Xenopus tropicalis: one gene and its partners. The protein of the gene in region 1 purifies or fractionates together with the protein of each later gene. This does not show direct contact. Links are inferred from orthologs where the notes say so. Each region holds a gene or a part of one and is shown in the gene's direction. Other genes may lie near its edges. The genes, in order: wwox, wbp2, vopp1, dvl2 and erbb4.

Evidence for each region.
Region 2: the proteins of wwox (region 1) and wbp2 purify together in Homo sapiens (affinity purification with mass spectrometry; 3 studies listed by BioGRID and IntAct, with this or other methods). This does not show direct contact. The link is inferred for Xenopus tropicalis from reciprocal best matches to the Homo sapiens genes WWOX and WBP2.
Region 3: the proteins of wwox (region 1) and vopp1 purify together in Homo sapiens (affinity purification with mass spectrometry; 3 studies listed by BioGRID and IntAct, with this or other methods). This does not show direct contact. The link is inferred for Xenopus tropicalis from reciprocal best matches to the Homo sapiens genes WWOX and VOPP1.
Region 4: the proteins of wwox (region 1) and dvl2 purify together in Homo sapiens (affinity purification with mass spectrometry; 4 studies listed by BioGRID and IntAct, counting the BioPlex papers as one, with this or other methods). This does not show direct contact. The link is inferred for Xenopus tropicalis from reciprocal best matches to the Homo sapiens genes WWOX and DVL2.
Region 5: the proteins of wwox (region 1) and erbb4 purify together in Homo sapiens (affinity purification with western blotting; 4 studies listed by BioGRID). This does not show direct contact. The link is inferred for Xenopus tropicalis from reciprocal best matches to the Homo sapiens genes WWOX and ERBB4.

The regions. Positions count from the first base shown.
Region 1 is NC_030680.2:54,292,934-54,297,695, reverse strand, and holds part of wwox (WW domain-containing oxidoreductase), read left to right. Parts: intron 1-2,741; coding exon 2,742-3,006; intron 3,007-4,762. UniProt on the Homo sapiens protein: Putative oxidoreductase. Acts as a tumor suppressor and plays a role in apoptosis. Required for normal bone development. May function synergistically with p53/TP53 to control genotoxic stress-induced cell death.
Region 2 is NC_030686.2:44,869,041-44,874,366, reverse strand, and holds the start of wbp2 (WW domain-binding protein 2), read left to right. Parts: upstream 1-1,958; 5' UTR 1,959-2,025; coding exon 2,026-2,084; intron 2,085-3,311; coding exon 3,312-3,420; intron 3,421-4,127; coding exon 4,128-4,263; intron 4,264-4,407; coding exon 4,408-4,500; intron 4,501-4,716; coding exon 4,717-4,848; intron 4,849-5,326. UniProt on the Homo sapiens protein: Acts as a transcriptional coactivator of estrogen and progesterone receptors (ESR1 and PGR) upon hormone activation. In presence of estrogen, binds to ESR1-responsive promoters. Synergizes with YAP1 to enhance PGR activity.
Region 3 is NC_030682.2:56,943,395-56,947,614, reverse strand, and holds the end of vopp1 (vesicular, overexpressed in cancer, prosurvival protein 1 precursor), read left to right. Parts: intron 1-606; coding exon 607-743; intron 744-2,316; coding exon of another isoform or gene 2,317-2,328; coding exon 2,329-2,507; 3' UTR 2,508-2,992; downstream 2,993-4,220. UniProt on the Homo sapiens protein: Increases the transcriptional activity of NFKB1 by facilitating its nuclear translocation, DNA-binding and associated apoptotic response, when overexpressed. May sequester WWOX in lysosomal vesicles and thereby regulate WWOX role as tumor suppressor.
Region 4 is NC_030679.2:153,293,824-153,298,585, reverse strand, and holds part of dvl2 (segment polarity protein dishevelled homolog DVL-2), read left to right. Parts: intron 1-1,365; coding exon 1,366-1,511; intron 1,512-1,580; coding exon 1,581-1,681; intron 1,682-3,816; coding exon 3,817-3,943; intron 3,944-4,021; coding exon 4,022-4,112; intron 4,113-4,199; coding exon 4,200-4,269; intron 4,270-4,554; coding exon 4,555-4,694; intron 4,695-4,762.
Region 5 is NC_030685.2:57,063,118-57,067,879, reverse strand, and holds part of erbb4 (receptor tyrosine-protein kinase erbB-4), read left to right. Parts: intron 1-3,330; coding exon 3,331-3,631; intron 3,632-4,762. UniProt on the Homo sapiens protein: Tyrosine-protein kinase that plays an essential role as cell surface receptor for neuregulins and EGF family members and regulates development of the heart, the central nervous system and the mammary gland, gene transcription, cell proliferation, differentiation, migration and apoptosis.

The DNA.
Region 1 (4,762 bases):
AGGTTATCATCTCAACATAATAATGTCTGTACAGATTTCATCCTATTATTCACATTCTGGTGTAGCTAAAGAACATCAAGAAAATTTATAATTAGATAACATAATTTAGCTTATGTATTTTTTGTTATATAGTGTATGTATGTATGTGTATATATAGATATACATATAGTAATATACTGGGAAACTTTAGATGAATTATATAATGAATATTAAATACTAAAATTAAATGTAAATTGTCAACATATAATTGCTCCTATTTAATATTGTTCTATGTCAGATTTCATATACTCATATACAGTTGCAAAAGTACAATGTATGAAAAAAAGGGGGAAAGTTGTGCTCAACCACTAAATTTTAAACCATTAGGCGGGGTGCAATGAGGTTGTGACCACAAAATACATATAGATAACAACAAGAGATCAAACAATCCCTGTTTTGCTTAAAGGGGAGGGCATTTCTTGGTAGCTTAATGCACAGAAAGTCTTAATGTCCTATATATGTTGATAATGGGTGCAGAAAGTACAATGTACCCATTTACCTTGTCTTAGTTAAGATGAGTTATCATTTTGTTGGACAGCTGCTATGATCTTATGGCTAGCAATGCATTTCTAGATTAAGTCAGGTATGTCCTTTTCTGATGCACAATGCCAGCGACTACCATGTGCATTGGCAGATGAAAGAGTGAAGAGAAGTTAATTTTACCAAAATTTACATTGTAAATTTTTTAAATTGTACTTTTTTCTAATGCTGTAATAGGCCACAGTTTGGACTCGCACACTTTATGTTCTGGTGTTCTAATGGTCTGATCCACAACTTGCTTTATATCCCTGCTCACTACAAGCTTTGGTGCCACCCTAGTGTGGACTAGTAATTGGAGAAGAGTTTAAAGGGAAATATTTTTCATTTAGGCTCGTCATATATTTCTTCATGTTCAGCGGACCTGAATGGGTTAATTCTCTTAGGCTGTTTCACCTGGGGAATAATTAGTAGCTTGAGATCTGCTAGCAACCCAGAGAGAGGATGGCCCTAGTAAGAGCTGGAAGACCTGAGAATCTGTGTGGAAAGAGGGCAGCAGTTTGAAATGCTGCTGAGTTATAAAAGAAAAGGATTCTGAGAAGGTACACTCCGTGTAGAGTTGTACTTTTGTTCTTAGCCGTGAATGCCTGTAGAGAGGGTAAATGCCATGTTAGAACCCAAATGTGGCAAAGGTTTTGATTTATTTTTGTTTTTCATGCTAATGAACTGTCTGTCCTGGAGAGCACTGGAAAACATAGAGAAAGTGCTGAGGAGCTAGCAAAATGCTATTGAGCTCTGTGCACTTAACTCACCTTGGCTGCCTGCCCCCGCCTCTTCCGCTTGTGTTCTCCCGCTCCCACACTTTCACAGACCTGAGCTGCATCTCACTCCCTCCCACCCTGTGCTAAACTCAACTGGGAAATAACTGTTTAAAAAAATATATATATGTATATATAAAATATATATATACAGGTATAGGACCCGTTATCCAGAATGCTCGGGACCAAGGGTATTCCGGATAAGGGGTCTTTCCGTAATTTGGAACTCCATACCTTAAGTCTACTAAAAAATCAACAAAACATTAATTAAACCCAATAGGATTGGTTTGCATCCAATAAGGATTATTTATATCTTAGTTGGGATCAATTACAAGGTACTGTTTAATTTCTAGAGAGAAAAAGGAAACCAGTTTTAAAATTCTAAATTATTTGATTAAAATGGAGTCTATGGGAGACAGGCTCTCCTTAATTCGGAGCTTTCTGGATAACGGGTTTTCGGATGAGGGATCCCATACCTGTATATGTTTTGTATAAACCATTGTCTCTTATATTTGTTGCGAAAATTATCACAGCATATGGCGGGTGATAGTCCTTGACAATTTAATTTCTGGTGTTAATTGATGTCTGCATTTGCAGTGGCCGGCATTTGGTTATAAAACAGCTATAAGTTCATTAAGATGTTTTTGTACATGTGGAAAAAAAGATGGCAAGGACTAAGTGTTTTTCTAATAAAGCTGTGGCCGACCTGCACCCCACTTATGTGTCCTGGTGTTTTTTGCTAGGCTCAGTTAGCTTCGGTAAGTAGTGTCCTGTAGAGACAGCTTTTTATGAAAACTTAAATCAGCTGTGATACTGCTTTGCCCAACTGTTTAATAAATTAGCTTTGTTTAAGAACCACTAGAGCTAAATTGTTAAGTTGCACCATATTACAGTATATATTGGTAAACCTCACCAGTAAGCAAGGCTCTAATGTCCCAGCAGCCAAGGGGGCATTTTGGGAAACTGTATTTCCATGCAGAATGTATCTTCTACTGTGGAAGAAGCTGACGAAATAACATTCTCAAAGCTTATTTAACAGATGCCAACATTAGCAGTGTATTACAAGATGAATAAACCTGTTCAAAGTAAAACCTAAGCTGAATTTTGAGTAAATATTCGTAAAAAGAATTACAACTACTTTTAAATTCTTAATATTAGTTATATACCAATATTACATTATACAGCACAAAAGCGCTATTAGATTGTTATAACAATGTTATCTTGTATTAGTCATTCCTTTTTTCTTGATTGAATTACATAAATTATTCGTAATTTGCATTTCTTTCTGTTCAACAACTTTAGCATGTAAGAAACTGATTATAGCAGAGGCTGGTTACTTCTTGCTGGATTGTAGTAAAGTTTTACTGGCAGGATGTCTAAAAAAATAGTTCACCTTTTTTCCCTTAGATTTACAGAAATTAAAGATTCATCAGGGAAACTTGACCTGAACCTGCTTTCCCCATTGAAGAAAGACTACTGGGCCATGTTGGCTTACAACCGTTCCAAGTTGTGCAATATCTTGTTCTCCAAGGAGCTGAACCGCCGCCTTTCTCCCCATGGGGTGACGTCTAATGCAGTACATCCGGGAAATATGATGTACTCCTCTATTCATCGCAACTGGTGGGGGTATACATTGCTGTTTGCTTTGGTACGGCCATTCACAAAGTCCATGGTGAGTGAAAGGTTTTACATATCTTCTGTTTTCTGAGTTGAATTAAAGTGTATAAAATATCCAGATGTACACATTTGCATTTACATCTTTCAAAACTGTAGGCTTTACATTAAGACTTCTATGTGATCTTGAGATGGTAGTTATATTGAAATACTCCCTCAAGTAATACTGAGTGCCGGGCACTTCAGGACTTGTTTATTGAGATAATTGCTTGTTGATGTGCAATACATTCGTCTGCAGAGTGGAGACAAATGAAATGTGATCTGGTAAAAAATCTTGGAAATTGGCTCTTCAGGATAAGGAGGGGAAAGGGAGCTTGTGCTAAACATGTTTGCCTGTAATTTATTGAAATAAGTATGTGCCCAAGAAAAATGTGAAGTATTGGTAAAAACAACTAAGTGACCTTGTCACCTTTACTTCTGGTTGCATAAAAGGAGCATTATCTGTTTTGTACATTATAGCAGTAGAGTTCTTGGAAAAACCAACATCCATTGCATGCAAGCCTAAATTTGGCTTTAAATCTCTGCATATTAACAGTTAATAATTCCATTTAATTGTATCCTATTTAGAGAAGAATATATCCTCTGTTTGCATAATTAGGAAATAATTAAGTCTGATATTACTGTGCGCATGGAACATTCATTCCGTGCATTTTTGCTTGACAATTAGGTGTGGGTGCTGGAATATTGCTTACCTCCACTGGCACTTTAGACATCATGAAAATAATGGATTCTGTTTTTTTCCAAGTGGCAGCTAGGTGATATTTTATTGAAGGAAAATAAATGGATGATAATCCCTACTTATAAATGAGGTATATTTCCTCGTTACATTTCATTAGCGTAATGCAAAAATCCCAGTGGCTGTTGGCAAACTGGTGGGAATGCATATATATTGATATTTTTTTAGTGGCAGGCCTCAGTAGGAGGATTTACATTTGCTGCTTAATGATGAAATTATAACTTCCAAAATTTGGACAGGAATTTGCTTCAGAGAATAAATTAACTGCTATAAGCTTCTTTGATGTCTTCCAAGTAGAGATCTATAAATCTGCAAGTGCTGAGCCCAAGTTACTATTATCACACATTGGCTGTAACTTTGATAGAACCAAATATTTTTGTTGGCAAGGATCTAAGCAGAAGAATACCATGTGTTAGGGGGCAGCAAGCGCTTAGCAGATGCTACAAGGAACTCAAGTTTCAAAACCCTTATTTTTTAACATTTAAAAGTGGGTAAGGTTTGTTGAAGTTCTGAGACTATTCAGTTACGTTTCCTGTTTCATTGGAAAGCCAGTCATTGTGCTAGAACTTTAACAGATGTGCTGTTCCCTTTTTAATAGATGGGAATAAAACTCTGGTTCTCTTGCAGAGTTATAAATTACAGCATGAAAGCACAAGCTGTCACCGTGTTAACCTTAGCTAGCCACAACAGCATGAATCTGCCCTCAAATAACCTGATGCACAAAGATTTATTACTCTAACATGTACCAAATTCCAGAATGGCTGGAGGTGTCTGTCAGGTAGAGTTGGGAATTTTGTATGGGTTTTTTTTTTCAACTTTGAAAGGATCTAAAGAATCACATTTTTTTTGTTTTGTGCATACATATACACACCATTGTTATACAAACCGCATATATTAAAAATGAAAGCCTCATTGGAACAAATTAGCCATTCTGCTTGTGGACTTAAAAGGTGGACTCAAGTCCAAAAAAGTAGTATGCCACACGCAGGCTTCTGTTCTAGCTCAAGTAAACCAGCAC
Region 2 (5,326 bases), on another chromosome or scaffold:
TGCAAAGCAGTTGGTGAGTGATTATTACATGGAGAAGTCAATCATATCAGGTACAAACGATGGTAGTAGGCATGGTAACCTGGTAGGGACTTTACGTACAGAAGAATTCCACGTGTGGTAGTGAATTCTATCTGAGTGACGAGGGTTTCAATTATAAACGCCGAAGGGTACTTGGTGTAGTCCTGGGAAGGGGCGCGGGGTGGGTTTTGTTCAACCATTTCCCGGCTCCAATAGGTATTCATACATCTTAGTTACTTACGGTGGCCACACACGTGGCAATTTTTGATCTTTCGTGCAACCATCAGTCGCACGAAAGATTGTTCCCACCCTCCACTTACGTTCAGGGCTGAAACGTCAGATATGGAGGTAGAAACAATAGGATTTCTACTAGAGCTGGGCGATATACCGTTTAATACCGAATACCGGTGTTTTTTTTAAAACTATATTCATTTTTCAGATACCGCAATACCGGGGTGTCAGGGTACTCACCCGTGCGGCCCGTTCTCGCACGCCTCCTTGCGCGCGCGTCCCGTTGTCCGCGGGACATTGCGCACGCGCGTCCAGGTGTGTGTGCGTCAAAGCGCACGTACATGTCAAAGCGTGCACGTCCGCGACGCGCTAACGGCGCCGGTTCTGCGCATGCGTGGGGGGTATTTAAAGCTATCAAACGCCTCCTCCTGTGCTATGTTGTCTGCGGCCTTGCCTGGGAAACTAAGCCTGCCTGATTTACCTTACGACTTTCTGTTGCCGATCCTTCGCTTGCCTGACTCTGATTTTCAATACTACAGTAATTATTCTCTAATTTATTAGGAAATGGGGTTAACACCTAATCATGCATGGAAAAAAAAAAATACCGTCAAATACAGCGACACCGATATCATTTTGAAAAATACTGCAATATAAATTTTTGGCCATACCGCCCAGCTCTAATTTCTACCTCCTTCTGCCGATTCAGCGCTGAAGGCAGATTTTGCTCAGGCGCCTTCTACGGTGCCCAAACAAAATCTTTTAACCGGTCCGATTGGTGAGTCGACAGCCTTCTGTGATATCGGCCGCCTCGCCGAGTTGCCATACACGCACCGAATATCGTATGAAACGAGGTTACGTATATTATCGGTGCGTGTATGGCGGCTTTACCCTGGCAATACCGGACCCACCGTATGTTAGAGAAACGCAACGTAATACTTACCTGTAAGATAACTTTACCTCAACTAATATATACATCGACCAGTTAGAGACCTTCTTGTATTTCCGCCGCTATACTAAGGGGCTGATTTACTAATCCACGAATCCGAATGGGAAAAATTTGGATTGTAAAACGAACATTTTGCGACTTTTTCATATTTTTTGTGACTTTTTCGTAGCCGTTACGACTTGCGCGAATTGTCGCGACTTTCGTATTGAGCGCTCGAAAAAGTCACAAAATACCGATCATTACGAAAAAAAAACACTTTTTGGACGTTCGTGGGTTAGTAAATGTGCCCCTAAGTGTAAGAAGGGGCGAAGCAACTACGCGGGGAGTATGAAATAGCTTAATATCAGCCCTGTGATAACCTCAATTGGGATTGTATGAAATCCTGTTAGGAGAGGTTTGTAGTGAAGTAGTATGTTTAACTAACTAATTGGCCGATATAACTGTACAAAATAAGATTGGATATTCCCCATAAAGTAGAATTTAACACTTACTGCCCTGAATAGCCGCCCAAACACAGCGCTACATTGGTAACAACCGTAATACACGGAGCAGCTCTGCGCCTCAGCGCTAAGTGATCGTTACAATGAAGTATTAGCAACGCAGAAACACAACTACAACATTAGCGCCTCAAGCGGCCATGGTTTATTTTCAGTGATACACGCCCCCTAGCGATCAAGAACACATGCCAGTCATAGATCCCTCAGCCAATGAGCGGCCGGCCCTACAGCAGTGGAACCGCCCAGACTGCGTCTCAAAGTGCGAGAGACTCTTCGAGCACGGTGATTGGCTGTTGCTAGGCTGCGGAGGTGTGACCTTTTTATCTCCGCAATATGGCCCTTAACAGGAACCACCTGGATGGCGGAGGTGCAGTAATTAACAACAGCGAGAGGTAGGACAGCGGCTAAGTAGAGAGACAGTCGCGGGAAGCAGTCAGCGAAACGTTAGACGGACCCCCTGCATGAATATGGGTTCCGGGTATCTGTCATCATATATGGGGCGGAGCTTGGACATGACGAGCAGGGATTTGTGCCAATTATGGAGCTGATACAGATACACCCGCCTCCCTCTCTTTGCCTGTCTGCTGTACTATTTGTATAATATTGTGTGTGTTTTCCTATTCCCAGGCACAATATACTTAATTCTATCAGCATATCTATATATAATATGTCCCACATGTATCCCTTGTGAGATTTACTTACTAAACCCCCTTTATTATTATTTATATTATTAATTTAATATAATATTCTTATGAAGCACTTACATAATCACATGATACAGTGGAGGGGTGTATACAGTGCTGCAATATGTAGGAGATATTTAACGCTCAGACCCGGGGAAGGCAGAGTGACCCTGGAGATTATAGGAGGCCCCATAGGGCACTGACTGATAAGCAGTTTTAATAGCTTTATTATAAAAAATGTCTTATTCCTAAAGTTTATTGGGGCGCTAAAATGATTTTGCTATAGGGCTCAGTTATGCCACTGAAACCGCGTATCATTCAGTGTTCTGTTGGATCTCTTACGGTGTCGGACTGGCCCACAAGGATAGCAGGAAAACTCCCGGTGGGCCCAGATGTCAGTGGGCCCTCCTGCTCCTCAGCATTTGGCCTGCTTCATGGTCATTCCCTGTTTCTGAATGGGAACAAAGAAGAGAAATAGATGGAAGAATAGATGCTAGCATGTAAATAAAAGAGACTAGGAGAATAAAGAGGTTGGGTGAGGAAAGGAGGAAAAATAGTTTGGAAAAGCGGCCTGGGGTCTAAGGTTTTCTGGTGGGCCTCTGGGTTCCCAGTCTGACACTGATCTCTTATACCTTGGCAGTTGCAGGGTCTTCTTCCTCTACATTTACACCCTTGGGCACTCCTCTTATTCCTCAAACAGATAGTCAGTTTGGCCCAATATCATGAAGATGCACAATAACCACCCCCCACACACACCACACCCCCAAGGGGTCCCCATCATCCCAAACCCCCCAGTCTGGTGGAGGGACGTCAGTTCAGGAACACCAGCAGGGATCGAGGGGCCCGCTTGGTTTTTTCCCGGTGTCCAGCTGGCAGTTCGTCTTTGACTACTAAACTGCACTGTTCTCATTGAACTTGCCCTTTATTATCTTCCAGTATCCTTACTTCTTATGAACATGTGGAGGTCACATTTAGTGACATGGACAGCACCCCAGAGGCTTTCAGAGGGACCAAGAAAGGCAGAGTCATTCTGACACCATATCGAGTAAGTCTGCCTCCCTTTTCCTTCACTCATTAGGTGCAGTCTGACTCATTGGCACCATGGAATAAACTGCTAATGTGCAACTAAACTTTCCATTAGGTCAGAGAAGACACTTGGGGGTTATGTAATTAAAAAAACTAAATTTGCCCAGGAACAGTAACCCATAGCAACCAGTCAGCAGGTAGAATATACTTATTGGTTGCTGTGGGTTATTGCTATCAGGCAAACTTAAGGTTTAATCGAGTGGATCATTTCCACCTAAGGTGGGCAAAATTTGGCTAAATCGATTGTTTCGCCACCTGCCCATTTTTATCCAGATATTGGTTGGGTAGGCCTGCTGGGGGGCCCCATGGGCAGATAAGCGCCCGAAACGGTCTGAAGGACTCAAATCGGCAACTTAGATTTGCCAGTGTATGCCAAACTTTAGTGTCATTTATTACATATAGGGCTAGTGCCCTTCTACACCTCCTTAATAAAAGTCACAGAGGGGATCCATGAACATATAAAGGCGGCACAAAATCACTTTAATACAGGCCCTAAAGCTTTGAGGTGTCTAATATTCTCTCATTTTATTCCAAGGGGGTACATTATTCTTTCAGTTATTATTATTTCAGTGAGTCATGTGACACAGATTCTAACCTATTTATAAGCATATCTTTTACGGCTCTTGTGTATTATGCATGTGGGTGAGGCTAATTTTGCATCCACAGGTGATATTTGTGTCCAAAGGAAGGGACCCCATGCAGTCGTTCATGATGCCCTTCTATCTGATGAAGGACTGTGAAATTAAGCAGCCCGTATTTGGAGCCAATTTTATCAAGGGCAACGTGAGAGCTGAGCCTGGAGGTGAGCAGTGTTACTATCTGACGGATACCTATGCGTTCTAGGTCCCACTTCAGCTCCTGGGACACCTGCCTTTATTTTTTGCTAATATAATTTGCTGTAGGTTAAATATATCTTTTAATCTGGAATTCATTTCTTTGCCTGCAGGTGGTTGGGAAGGATCTGCTACATTTAAACTAAGCTTTCCTTCAGGGGGCGCTATAGAGTTCGGCCAGCACATGCTACACGTGGCCTCTCAAGGTGAGCAGGGGGTATCTGAAGTCACAATCTCTTGACATTTAGTCTGGACTCCCAGGACTACCTAGGAGAGCAAATACACATTTGCCACAAGCCCCACACCTCGGGGAAAAGATTTAAAGGGAAATCCCAATGGGTCAGAAATTCTGCCTCAGCCTTTGCAATGCACTTTTTCCTTTACCCATTTTTATAAAATATGGTTTCTACTCGCCCTTGTAGCCTCAAGTGGAGGAGCTCCAAATGTTGCCTACCCATATATGCCCAATGGGGGCTACGTCTTCCCACCTCCTGCAGCCAATGGCATCTACCCACCTCCACCTGCTGGTTATCCTTATCCGCCACCACCCAGCGGTAAGTCATTTTACTCACTATTATAAAATACAGGTGTGAGATCTGTCATCTGGAAACCCATTATCCAGAAAGTTCTTAAATATCTCACATAGACTCCATTTTAAGCAAATAATTCAAATTTTTCAAAATCATTTACTTTTTCTCTGTAATAATAAAACAGTACCTGTACTTGATCCCAACTAAGATATAATTACCCCTTATTGGGGCAGAACAGCCCTATTGAGTTTATTTAATGGTTAAATGATTCCCTTTTCTCTGTAATAATAAAACAGTACCTGTACTTGATCCCAACTAAGATATAATTACCCCTTATTGGGGGCAGAACAGCCCTATTGGGTTTATTTAATGGTTAAATGATTCCCCTTTTCTCTGTAATAATAAAACAGTACCTGTACTTGATCCCAACTAAGATATAATTACCCCTTATTGGGGCAGAACAGCCCTATTGGGTTTATTTAATGGTTAAATGATTCCCTTT
Region 3 (4,220 bases), on another chromosome or scaffold:
ACGCCAGCAGCGAATCCACTAAGTGTCACATTAGCTGTAGGTCAGTCTGTGTATGGGCCATCTTTAGCCTCCCCTAGTATCATCCTGCAAAAAAAATATATATATTTTTATATATATATATATATATATTTGTCTGTTGCAGGATGATGCTAGCTTACTTGCCCCCCCTTGGAAAATTTTCTGCGGACGCCCATGTCTGTGTGTGTGTGTATATGCTGTTTGCAGATTTAAATGTAACTGATTATGTATCAGAGGAAAAATGGCCACCGGGTGAAAGCTGCTATTTGCTTTAGGAAAATGTTGATGGTGCTGGCAAGCGGAGGGGATATATGCAGTACTAATGGTGCCATTTGGATGGGGGAGATGTGCCCAACTGATATACATTGTAGGCAAATGTAGGCTTTACATGTCCTTTAACACCTCAAGACTTGTGTCTGTACCATTGGTAATTGGGCCCCTGTCTGTAAATGCACAGGGTATTTTTATTTCCTTATGACGTTACTCACCTTGTGTTCATGTATATATAACTACTATCCAGTAATGCTGGCATCTTTCCTTAATTGCAGTCCTGTTGGGTGATAAACATAGTTTCTCACTTCTCTTTAGGTTCCTCTTGATGATGGGTGTACTGTTTTGTTGTGGGGCTGGATTTTTTATCAGAAGAAGGATGTACCCACCTTTGCTTGTTGATGAACCTACTTTTAATGTCTCATACACCAGGCAACCTGCAGGGCCTCCACCAGGTAATTACTCTGTATTTTTTCATAGCGTTTCATGTGGCAGAAACTTGAAGATAAAGTTCATTAGTGATAAGATGTGTAAGGAATCATTAGGGCCTGGACACAAGTGCAAGAGTGCTAAGCAGCGCAAAAATTGTGCTTTTTAGTGCTAATTCAGTAACCACACACGGCCATTCACTGGATTAAATATCTAGCGGAAGGTAACAGGCACCAGGAGGCCCTCCCTAATGTGCCACCATAGGATAGGGCAGGTCTCCCCGACTTGCATGTCTGATGATGCACAGGTTAGGAATGCCTATATGCTTCCCCCAGCCTGCCTTCCCTGAGTACAGTACTGCCAGCACTGGCAATTTGGTTTTCATGGAGGGAGAGGAATGAAGGTGTTTGGGGGCACCCATTGTCTTGCCCTACACCCCTGTAATGTACTCATTAGGAATCATTTACAGGCTCAAGAGCAAACATGAGTGCACACTTGCATGTATTTAATTGAATGTATAGGGCACAGGGAGAAGGCAGCGCTGGACAACTGCTGTACTATAAGGTAGCTCAAAAGTATGTGTAAAGTTCTGCCTTAGGGCCCACACATACATTTTTTAAATGTTCCTGGGTACAACTACGCTCATGTGTGTTAAAGTGTGCTTAAACCTGCACCTCAAATGTAAAGTGTGAGAGCCCTTATATTGCTTCAACTCTGTGAAAATATTCCAGCATTCTGAAACTGCAATAAGTGTAGTGCAGTGTGCTCAGTTACATGGCAGGGAATACAGCAGAGTGGGAACAAAAGTACAAAGAGCAAATGTACTCTAATCATATGGTAAGAGCAGAAAGAAAGGGCAACTGTCACACAATGGTACTTTCCTTCTTTTTAAAATGCTTTAGTATTTGCTTGAAGCATTTTAACCGCTAATCTGCCACTGTAATCCCTGCTTGATACATATAAATACATATCCTGGATTAGTAAACTTGCCAGCTACAGTACTTGCTACCTATGCTGCTTCTGTGGCCCTTGAAGCTTTAACAGAAACTCCCAGGAACTAATCTGCTCTCCTAATACATCTTTCTTCCTCCACAAAGCCAGTACCTGTCACCACCCACCAAATACACTAAAACCCTAAAACTCATTATTTCTGACTCTTAGTTCTTTACTCATATTGGCAAAACTTAATTTCCCTAGTACAGGGATCCCCAACCTTTTATACCCGGGAGCCACATTCAAATGGAAAAAGAGTTGGGGAGCAACACAAGCATGGAAAAAGTTCCTGGGGGTGCAAATAAAAGCTATAATTGGCTATGTGGTACCCCCTATGTGGACTGGAAGCCTACAGAAGACTCTGTTTGCCTTTACACTGGGTTTTATGCAACCAAAACTTGCCTCCAAGCCAGAAATTAAAAAATGAGCACCTGCTTTGATGCCACTGGGAGCAACATCCAAGAGGTTGGGGAGCAACATGTTGCTCCTGAGCCACTGGTTGGGGATCACTGCCCTAGTACATTCTGCTCTTTGGTGCTTATGTATTGCCCCTTACAACAGATTAACTGCACTAGAAGTGGAATAGGAAAAAATAAAGGCATGCAGTTTTTTTTGCAGGACCCCAGCACCCAGGAATGCCATATTACTCTGATCCAGGAGGAGCTATGGGAAACCCAGTGACACCATCCTTTCATGTTCAGCCCTCTCCACAAGGGAATCCACCATTCCCTCCTCCACCTTCTTACTGCAACACGCCTCCACCTCCTTATGAGCAAGTGGTGAAATCCTGCAAATGAACCCTCGGCAGTTTCCTTAAACCTGACTCTTGACAAGTGATTGACTTTACCACAAGGAGGACTTGGCTCTGCACTAGCTCAGCTGGCATAAGAGTATTGCTAGCCTCAGTACTGGCTTGCCGAATGGAATGGATGTCTTGTTTTTATGGAAAGTGGTTGCAATCCTGCCAATGTCTGTAACTAGTATACCTTTTTACCTTTCCAGCACCTGGCTGGGGTGGGATGAGGGTGTAATTGTCCCAGGTCTCCATTCTAGTGCTGAAGAGGCCTAATTTTTTTATCACTCTTATGTAGTATGTAGTTACTCTAATGTACGTATGTTTCTCAACTGGTGATGTACATTACATATCGTTGCCTCATGGTCCCAAGAGTGCTAGCAGATCATGCAATATCTTCAGTAAAAGGCATGCTCTTGACTGAACCTTATTTGAATACGTGTTTTTAATCCCAATAAATAAAACTAATTTTATTGTCAGAATTGTTAATATTTCCATTTTCTTATTCTTTGTTCCTATTTGTTCTTTGTGATTGATACTTTGTAAAGAAACCATTTTTCCTTTCACTTTTATACTATAAGCCAGGACTTTGGGGCAGATTTATCAAAGTAAAATTTATCACAGTAAAATTCCACTGCTCCCTATTCATTTCTTTGGGAGTTTTAAAGTTATATTTATTAAATGGTGAATGACCAGTGCGGTGGCCCATAGCAATCAATAGACAATAGAAAATAGTTTTGAGCAGCCTATTGACAGTTTGAAAATGAAAGCAAAGATCTGATTGGTTGCTATAGGCAACACCAGAGGTTCAATTTGGCACCTATCTTTATCAGTCCCTAAGCCTGCAGAATGAAACCGCGGAATGACACTCAAAAGAAAAGAAAGAAAACGAAAATAATCCACATTATATGGACATTCATTTGGGCAGCGGGTCTCACCTGTGCCTATGGTACTCTGTGTGGGACAGGGTGAAACAAATATGGCAGTTGGTACATGTTTTTTTGCACTTTGCACCCTGCCCTGCACTTTGTAAATGGGACCCACTGACTTTTGAAACTATTTCAAGACTTTTAATCTGGCCATGCATATAATCATCTTCTCATTAGACAAAAGTGACATTAAGGGGCATATTTATTATGCTGTGTAAAAAACGGCGAGAAAATTCGCCACACATCGCCAGGCTTCACTGTGTAAAAACAGCGTAATCATTTACGCGTTTTTTCTTCCACCGGAACTTATGGAAAATAACGGCGTAATATCCGGTGTTCAGACGGCGATCTTTTCCATTTATTTTACACAGCTTTTTACTCCGTTTTTTCAGCGAATTAGTTTTACACAGCATAATATATTCCCCCCGTAGTCTGATCCAACCGCTTGGGCCATCACAATAACACTAAATTAATGGTCTGACAAGATATCTGGATTATTTAGCTCTATACATAGGACAATAAGCTGAAGAATATGGGAGTGCCTGTGTATAGGCAGGTTGAAGCGTTTACTTAACAACGCCAGTATGGGCAACATTCAATGTTCATATTATGCGTTTTTTATGCAGTTTTTAAAGAGGACCTGTCACTTTTTTAAAACCGCATTAAAGTGTTTGCAATTAAGGTGAACAACATTACAGTTGAAATAAAAGTTTAATATTACTAGTGAAAGGAATGTTTTATAACTTACATAAATAACGTGTCAGGAAAGCACCATTTTGAAAAATTAT
Region 4 (4,762 bases), on another chromosome or scaffold:
CTCCCCAATACCCATTCATCCCTCATTCTCACTGGGTTTATAGTTATGTGTAACTGTCACTGTGTCTGTCCCTTTCCCTTCCCTGCACTGCTGGTTCTGACTCCTGATACAACTCCCCAATATCCATTCATCCCTCATTCTCACTGGGTTTATAGTTATGTGTAACTGTCACTGTGTCTGTCCCTTTCCCTTCCCTGCACTGCTGGTTCTGACTCCTGATACAACTCCCCAATATCCATTCATTCCTCATTCTCACTGGGTTTATAGTTATGTGTAACTGTCACTGTGTCTGTCCCTTTCCCTTCCCTGCACTGCTGGTTCTGACTCCTGATACAACTCCCCAATATCCATTCATCCCTCATTCTCACTGGGTTTATAGTTATGTGTAACTGTCACTGTGTCTGTCCCTTTCCCTTCCCTGCACTGCTGGTTCTGACTCCTGATACAACTCCCCAATATCCATTCATTCCTCATTCTCACTGGGTTTATAGTTATGTGCCGGTTGGGTGCCTGTGTGGCGCCGGTTGGGTGCCTGTGTGGCGCCGGTTGGGTGCCTGTGTGGCGCCGGTTGGGTGCCTGTGTGGCGCCGGTTGGGTGCCTGTGTGGCGCCGGTTGGGTGCCTGTGTGGCGCCGGTTGGGTGCCTGTGTGGCGCCGGTGGGTGCCTGTGTGGCGCCGGTTGGGTGCCTGTGTGGCGCCGGTTGGGCCGGTGGCGCCGGTGGGCCTGTGGCGCCGGTTGGGTGCCTGTGTGGCGCCGGTTGGGTGCCTGTGTGGCGCCGGTTGGGTGCCTGTGTGGCGCCGGTTGGGTGCCTGTGTGGCGCCGGTTGGGTGCCTGTGTGGCGCCGGTTGGGTGCCTGTGTGGCGCCGGTTGGGTGCCTGTGTGGCGCCGGTTGGGTGCCTGTGTGGCGCCGGTTGGGTGCCTGTGTGGCGCCGGTTGGGTGCCTGTGTGGCGCCGGTTGGGTGCCTGTGTGGCGCCGGTTGGGTGCCGGCCCGTGGGTGCTGGGGTGCCTGTGTGACGCCGGTTGGGTGCCGGTTGGGTGCCTGTGTGACGCCGGTTGGGTGCCGGTTGGGTGCCTGTGTGACGCCAGTTGGGTGCCTGTGTGACGCCGGTTGGGTGCCGGTTGGGTGCCTGTGTGGCGCCGGTTGGGTGCCTGTGTGACGCCGGTTGGGTGCCTGTGTGACGCCGGTTGGGTGCCAGGTTGGGTGCCTGTGTGACGCCGGTTGGGTGCCTGTGTGACGCCGGTTGGGTGCCTGTGTGACGCCGGTTGGGTGCCTTTGTGACGCCGGTTGGGTGCCTTTGTGACGCCGGTTGGGTGCCAGTTGGGCGCCCGCGTACGTTTAATTCCCCCCCTGTCTCTCTGGTGCAGCTCGTGTCCTCCGAGACCTCCCAGACGGATTCTGCCCCCCCAGCTGCAGAGGTCCGACCCGACCCACCCCCTGTCCCACCCCCTGTGCCGCCGCCCCCCGCAGAGAGGACCAGTGGTATTGGAGACTCGCGGCCTCCCTCCTTTCAGTAAGTATGAGGGTGTGGCCCCGGGGCCCCCCTGCCCGCAGGAACTGACTGTGCTTATGTCTCTCTCAGCCCCAACGTGTCGGGCAGCACCGAGCAACTGGATCAGGACAACGAGTCTGTAATCTCCATGCGCAGAGACCGGGTCAGGCGCCGAGACAGCACCGAGCAAGGTGAGGGGCACCGGGGGCACAATGCCAGGGTACTATGGTTGCTTGGTTCCCACAGGTGGGGGAGGGGCCGGGGGCACAATGCCAGGGTACTATGGCTGCTTGGTTCCCACAGGTGGGGGAGGGGCCGGGGGCACTGGGGGCACAATGCCAGGGTACTATGGCTGCTTGGTTCCCACAGGTGGGGGAGGGGCCGGGGGCACAATGCCAGGGTACTATGGCTGCTTGGTTCCCACAGGTGGGGGAGGGTCCGGGGGCACAATGCCAGGGTACTATGGCTGCTTGGTTCCCACAGGTGGGGGAGGGGCCGAGGGCACTGGGGGCACAATGCCAGGGTACTATGGTTGCTTGGTTCCCACAGGTGGGGGAGGGTCCGGGGGCACAATGCCAGGGTACTATGGCTGCTTGGTTCCCACAGGTGGGGGAGGGGCCGAGGGCACTGGGGGCACAATGCCAGGGTACTATGGTTGCTTGGTTCCCACAGGTGGGGGAGGGGCCGGGGGCACAATGCCAGGGTACTATGGTTGCTTGGTTCCCACAGGTGGGGGAGGGGCCTGGGGCACTGGGGGCACAATGCCAGGGTACTATGGCTGCTTGGTTCCCACAGGTGGGGGAGGGCCGGGGGCACAATGCCAGGGTACTATGGTTGCTCGGTTCCCACAGGTGGGGGAGGGGCCTGGGGCACAGGGGGCACAATGCCAGGGTACTATGGCTGCTTGGTTCCCACAGGTGGGGGAGGGGCCTGGGGCACTGGGGGCACAATGCCAGGGTACTATGGCTGCTTGGTTCCCACAGGTGGGGGAGGGGCCTGGGGCACTGGGGGCACAATGCCAGGGTACTATGGCTGCTTGGTTCCACAGGTGGGGGAGGGGCCGGGGGCACTGGGGGCACAATGCCAGGGTACTATGGTTGCTTGGTTCCCACAGGTGGGGGAGGGGCCGGGGGCACAATGCCAGGGTACTATGGCTGCTTGGTTCCCACAGGTGGGGGAGGGGCCGGGGGCACTGGGGGCACAATGCCAGGGTACTATGGTTGCTCGGTTCCCACAGGTGGGGGAGGGCCTGGGGCACCGGGGGCACAATGCCAGGGTACTATGGCTGCTTGGTTCCCACAGGTGGGGGAGGGGCCGGGGGCACTGGGGGCACAATGCCAGGGTACTATGGTTGCTTGGTTCCCACAGGTGGGGGAGGGTCCGGGGGCACAGGGGGCACAATGCCAGGGTACTATGGCTGCTTGGTTCCCACAGGTGGGGGAGGGGCCGGGGGCACAGGGGGCACAATGCCAGGGTACTATGGTTGCTTGGTTCCCACAGGTGGGGGAGGGGCACCGGGGGCACAATGCCAGGGTACTGTGGCTGCTTGGTTCCCACAGGTGGGGGAGGGGCACCGGGGGCACAATGCCAGGGTACTGTGGCTGCTTGGTTCCCACAGGTGGGGGAGGGGCCGGGGGCACAATGCCAGGGTACTATGGCTGCTTGGTTCCCACAGGTGGGGGAGGGGCCGGGGGCACTGGGGGCACAATGCCAGGGTACTATGGCTGCTTGGTTCCCACAGGTGGGGGAGGGGCCTGGGGCACAGGGGGCACAATGCCAGGGTACTATGGCTGCTTGGTTCCCACAGGTGGGGGAGGGGCCTGGGGCACAATGCCAGGGTACTATGGCTGCTTGGTTCCCACAGGTGGGGGAGGGGCCTGGGGCACTGGGGGCACAATGCCAGGGTACTATGGCTGCTTGGTTCCCACAGGTGGGGGAGGGGCCTGGGGCACTGGGGGCACAATGCCAGGGTACTATGGTTGCTCTGTTCCCGCAGGTGGGGGAGGGGCCTGGGGCACAGGGGGCACAATGCCAGGGTACTATGGCTGCTTGGTTCCCACAGGTGGGGGAGGGGCCTGGGGCACTGGGGGCACAATGCCAGGGTACTATGGCTGCTTGGTTCCCACAGGTGGGGGAGGGGCCTGGGGCACTGGGGGCACAATGCCAGGGTACTATGGCTGCTTGGTTCCCACAGGTGGGGGAGGGGCCTGGGGCACTGGGGGCACAATGCCAGGGTACTATGGTTGCTCTGTTCCCGCAGGTGGGGGAGGGGCCTGGGGCACAGGGGGCACAATGCCAGGGTACTATGGTTGCTCTGTTCCCGCAGGTGTTGCCAGGGGGGTGAATGGACGGGCAGAGCGGCACCTCTCGGGGTACGAATCCTCCTCGACGCTTCTGACCAGTGAGATTGAGACGAGTATCTGTGACTCGGAGGAGGACGACGCTATGAGCAGGTACTGTGGCCCCGCCCAGATGCCAGGGAGTGGGAGGGGCTTGCATGGGGCCTGATGCCAATATGGCTGTTCCCTCAGGTTCAGCAGTTCCACGGAGCAGAGCAGCGCATCCCGCCTCCTGAAGCGCCACCGGCGCCGCCGCAAGCAGAGACCCCCCCGCCTGGAGAGGGTGAGTTACAGCAGGGATAGCTATAGAGTGCCCTGATTGGTGCTCCAGCCAGGCCCCACCCTCAGCCCCGCCTTCTCTCTCTTACAGACCTCCTCCTTCAGCAGCGTCACCGACTCCACCATGTCCCTCAACATCATCACCGTCACGCTGAATATGGGTGAGTCGGCCCCGCCCACTCTGCTCCCATTGGCTTAGCTCGCCTTCTCTGTACCCCAGGGGGGCAGTTACTGAGACAGGAGATTGACCTTTAACCCTGACTCACAGCTTCCCCCCACCAATCACTACAGCCCTGATGAGAGGAGGAACAGCTCCCCCTACTGGTCAGTGGGCAGTGCTTGGGCCCAGGCTTGGCGCAGTTGCACCAGGGGTGTCCGGGGGACTCCCAGCCATGTGACCCCGCCCCTTTATGGGCAGTTCTTAACCCTTTCCTCTCCCTCCCCAGAGAAGTACAATTTCCTGGGCATCTCTATCGTGGGGCAGAGCAACGAGCGCGGTGACGGGGGCATTTATATTGGCTCCATAATGAAGGGCGGAGCCGTGGCAGCCGACGGGAGGATTGAACCCGGGGACATGTTGCTGCAGGTAAGTGTTGCCCCTCCCTTGCTGGATAGGTAGATACCCCCGGGCACTTACCCCCATGCACTCTCTCT
Region 5 (4,762 bases), on another chromosome or scaffold:
GACCTAATAGGGAGGTACCTTTAGGGCTAATTAGAGGATAGCAGTGGGGTGTGAGTTTACTCTAGGAGTGAAAGCTAGTGAGGCTAGCGAGAAAGGACAACCTGTTGTCTCAGTGAGGTGTAGGATTTAGGGGTAGAGCCCCTGAGGTAACTGTATGCAGGGTAGTGAGTTTAAGTGTTTAGGTGTAGGTTAGGAGACCTACGGGTGAAGCTTGGACACTTTAAGGAGACAGGGTCCTGGAGGCTTTGGTGAGAAATACTGTATGTGAGTGTGAAAAGCAGAGAGAATGAGTCTGCATAAGTACTGTGTAGTGTGTATTGATCATCCTTGAGTTTGCAACCAGAGCCCCGGTCTGTAACCTGCCTCCCTGCAAGAAGCTGTTCATTAAAAGTGCTTTTTGTTCATCGCAACTGCATGAAGATGCCTACTTCTTGTAGTAAAGGTCATGTACATGCGTTTGACAGTAACAGGAGTCTAGCAGCCATGGGGAGCTCCAGCACACTCCAGCACTTAAGCCATGGGGTAATATAAATGACCCCTAGTATCTGCAGTCTCTTTTGCCTTGCCTTCAAAGTTTCCCTCAAAAAATGTATAGATTTACCATTCTTCTCTAAGACTTGTGGTCTGAGATGTAAATTTAGACAAGTCTGATTGAACAGAAGCTGACGAGAACCAGGAAAAGTTAATTAGTGAAGATTTTTGCATAATTACAATCGTGTCCTGACACTAAGGTGTTTTCATAGATGGATCTCAAATGAAATTCGACAGCAGCTAGTTTATTATGAGAAAGGCTTGAGAAGGGACAGTCAGAAACGTCATTAATATAGGGTTCGGAGAACCATCACAGAGGGGACAGTGAATAAGAAGACAGCCCGGTAATTGAATCAATCAGTCATTTGTTTTTTGCTGCTGGGCCCAGGCTGTAGGTCAGCAAGTCATCAAAAGCTGTGGCAAATTTCACTAATTACTACTCTACAGGACAAAGCTGTTATATCACAGCAGTCTTTAACCCTTCTTACACCATAAACGAATTATATCATTTCCACAGTCCATTCATTGTTTTTATAAAGCTGCTTTTTTTGCTACACAAAAATACATCACAAAGGCAGAATTATCTATGAAATGTAAAACCAATCTTCAGTGGGGCCTGGGACACTAGGGGCTAACGGCAAACACCCATGAATTTTCTGGTATGTGTATTCTTAGCAAGCATTGTTAAGATTTGTAGAATGAGTTGTAGGCATTTAGTAAAAGAATGTATGCGTATAATAAAACAAATTTGAATGGGAAGCATAGTGATATTCTAGTCCCTGTTTTATATAAAGGTGATATTAACTCTGCTTTCAAATTCTGATTTTCCCACAAAAAGCAATATTATATTGCCTACACAAACAATATACCCCTAATAATCATTTTTGTGATTTTTTTGTGACTCACCTGTAACTTTTTTTCCGCTGCAAATTTTTCTGCCTGTAATACAAAAAAATTCACCAATAGGGAAATGCGGAATTTCGCAGCCAATCCATGCCTGCCGAAAAATTTGTGATGTGTATTTCTTCTGTAATTATGCAGTTAACAAAGAAAGCTAGCACATCCTACTAGAAAGTTCTCTGTCTCCACTGACATAGTTTAATCATTAAAGTTCTCTTTTGGGTTTTGTCTGCCAGATAATGGCAAGATTATATATTTTAACCTTACAAACAAAGGGTTGTGTGATAATGGCTGGGGAATTGCAGACATCCTGAATTACAGATGTTTAGTAATTAGTTCCACTTGAGTAGACCTACAAGACTGAACTGCGCCACTGGCTTTTCCAGCAGGACTTACTGTGATGTACATTCTTAGTGCTTGGTGTAAGCTTATTAACCAGATACAGTGATGCACAAAATGGTATAAACTGTAAACACATAAAGGGAGTGTAGATAGATCTCGTAGATAGATATGTATAATAAATATAAATATCTTATGCATACATTAATACATACATATATCTTAATGTAAATGACATGTTCTGGAGAGGAAGTCTGTCATTTCTCGCTGTAGGAATCATTACTAAAATGAATATGTGTACTCCACATCACAATTGCAGGGATATTTTTATGTAAAATATTATCCAAAACAATTATTTGTAACAAACTCTATGGAGCACATTTACTAATCCTCAAATCCGAATCCCGAATGGGAAAAAATCGGATTGGAAACGAAAATTTTGCGACTTTTTCGTTGCTGTTGCGGTTTTTTTGTATTTTGCGCAACTTTTTCGTCGCCAGCATGACTTTATCGTATTTTGCACTATTTTTTTCGTCGCCGTCACGATTTTTTCGTATTGAGCAATTGTAAATGGCGGAAAAACCAATCCGAATTTTTTGCGACGGCGACGAAAAAGTTGCGAAAAATATACGATAAAGTCGTAACAGCGACAAAAAAACACGCAAAATCTGAAAAAAACGCTGCAGCGATGAAAAAGTCGCAAAATACTGATCATTACGGAAAAAACCCATTTGGGCGCTTTCGGACATTCGTGGCTTAGTAAATGTGCCCCTATGCATCCACACAGACCACAGATCAACATATTGTTAGGTGACCGCCGCTTTATTTGGAGTTTTACTAAAATTTGTCCTTTTCAATGTATGTTTTCACAACTTTTAGGAAGGCCTTTTCTTGAACCATCCAAGTGGTTTTCATGGCTACTATCCCCTCTTTAACCACCACAGACCTTTGGATATACCATCATTTTAATAGGACATGGCACACAGTGACAAATGATTGACTGACTCACTCCAAGTAAAAAGCTGGACATGGAGTGCAATACCAAGCTACAGTAGATACAGCATACCTTTTGGGCTTCATACACCACTTACAATGACCCTAGGGCAGTGTACAGTACTTGCACACACAGTGTTCTTATAATGTGATGGGTATACCTAGGTTGGTAAATTAGTTTTAGAGTCTAACAGCCCTGTACTAAACTACATTATGAAAGAGTTCCTTTGGGCTCTTATCTGCCCTTGGTTATTGCTATATAGACATAAAAGAAATTGGTGTCACAGTAATAATGCATTATGTGATGTTGCTGTGGCTGCCGTTCCAGTGGGACTTTATCTGTGTCAATCAATATGTAGGCCCCTGTTAATTTGTTTAGCAGCATTTATGTACATGCAGCAAGCTGTGTAGTCCTAAAAGAGTCTCAGTAAAAATAAGCATTCATTGATTGCCCTCATATTTCTTCTACAACAGATAATTTGTCTGTGATTATAGAACATTGTTTGGTAATCATCATTATGAAATTGTCAATAATAAAAGTTTGTCTTCTGTCTTTGTCTTCCATAGAACCAGTTTGTTTATAGAGATGGGGGCTACACCACTCAAGAAGCAGTAAATCTTCCCTTCAGACCCACTGCCTGCCCAATAACAGAACTCTCAACAGCACAGGGGGCTACAGCTGAAGTCTTTGATGATGTTTGTTGCAATGGCACACTTTGTAAACAGGTGGTATCAGAGCGAATACCAGAGGAGAGCAGCCTGCAGAGATATAGTGCTGACCCCACTGCATTTGTGCCGGAACGCAACCCCAGAGGAGTTGTCGGGGAAGATGGCTATATGACTCCCATGAAGGAAAAACCGAAGTCTGGTAGGTAGTGACTACTGTTGATAGTCCTGTATAAAAATATGATATTGACTAATCTTGAGAATGTTTTTGAACACTTTTTATCTCTGTTGAAGTAGTCAGGTATCTTAAGGATCATTAACAGAAGGGCAATCAGAAGAGAACAACCTTAGAAAAAGTTTGCACATCTGTATCATGGGAGTGAGTACTAGAAAGCTCCATGATGCTTCAGACTGATAGATGCTGCCATAGCAATTAGGAAAAAAACTAGAAATGCATATGAAAGTGCTAACAGTAATACTGTAAAAACACACTCAAGGTAACGTAACAAAAGCCTGTTCTAGTAACCGGATGCAAGCTTTGAGGCATTTTTATATTACCTGTAAAGGGATAATGTATTAAGTGTCAGAAGGCGTGTGCATGGTCTAGTAACCAAACCGCCAGCATCTGACTTTAATGTGGGTCACTAGAACTTAGTGATATTTTTTCAGTTATTATTGTGTTTTCATATGTAAATATTTTCTTGAATTTATGATCCCCCCCTCGAATCAGAATCCTGTCAAACATATTGAATGTATTCAAGTGTCCTTGTACCATGTGGTAAAGGGAACAGAGTATAATGTAGACAATTTGTGCAGAAGAAATTATTCCATACTCCGGGGGTGACTGCTTGTTTACAAACAGTAGCACATACAGTACCTGCAACATTTTGGGTATAAACGTCTCTCTGTCAACTTTAACTGTCAATATCCTATAAAAACTAAGATCCAGTTTAGGAGTATTTTTCCAAGAAGAATCCTCATATGTATTAAGTAAGAGTTTCCATTACATGTGGTTTTCCTGACATCCTTAAAAACATTAAAAGCCATAAACACATATTAGAAACCCTACAATAGTTTAAGACTAATATAGAATTAAAGAATAAGCTATTGAAATTATTTTGTATTATACAGATATTCTGCTGGGTTAGTTTGAAAAAAAAAGCCCAGCGTTGTCAAGAGCAATACAAGAGGACCATAGATTTAAAATGATGTAATTTTTGTACTCTCATTGTTAATCTACAATTTATCAAAATGTCTTAGACGCTGAAATGGCTGATAAGTCAGCTATACATAATAGCACTGCATTAGGAGGCAGAATTTGACATAATACAAA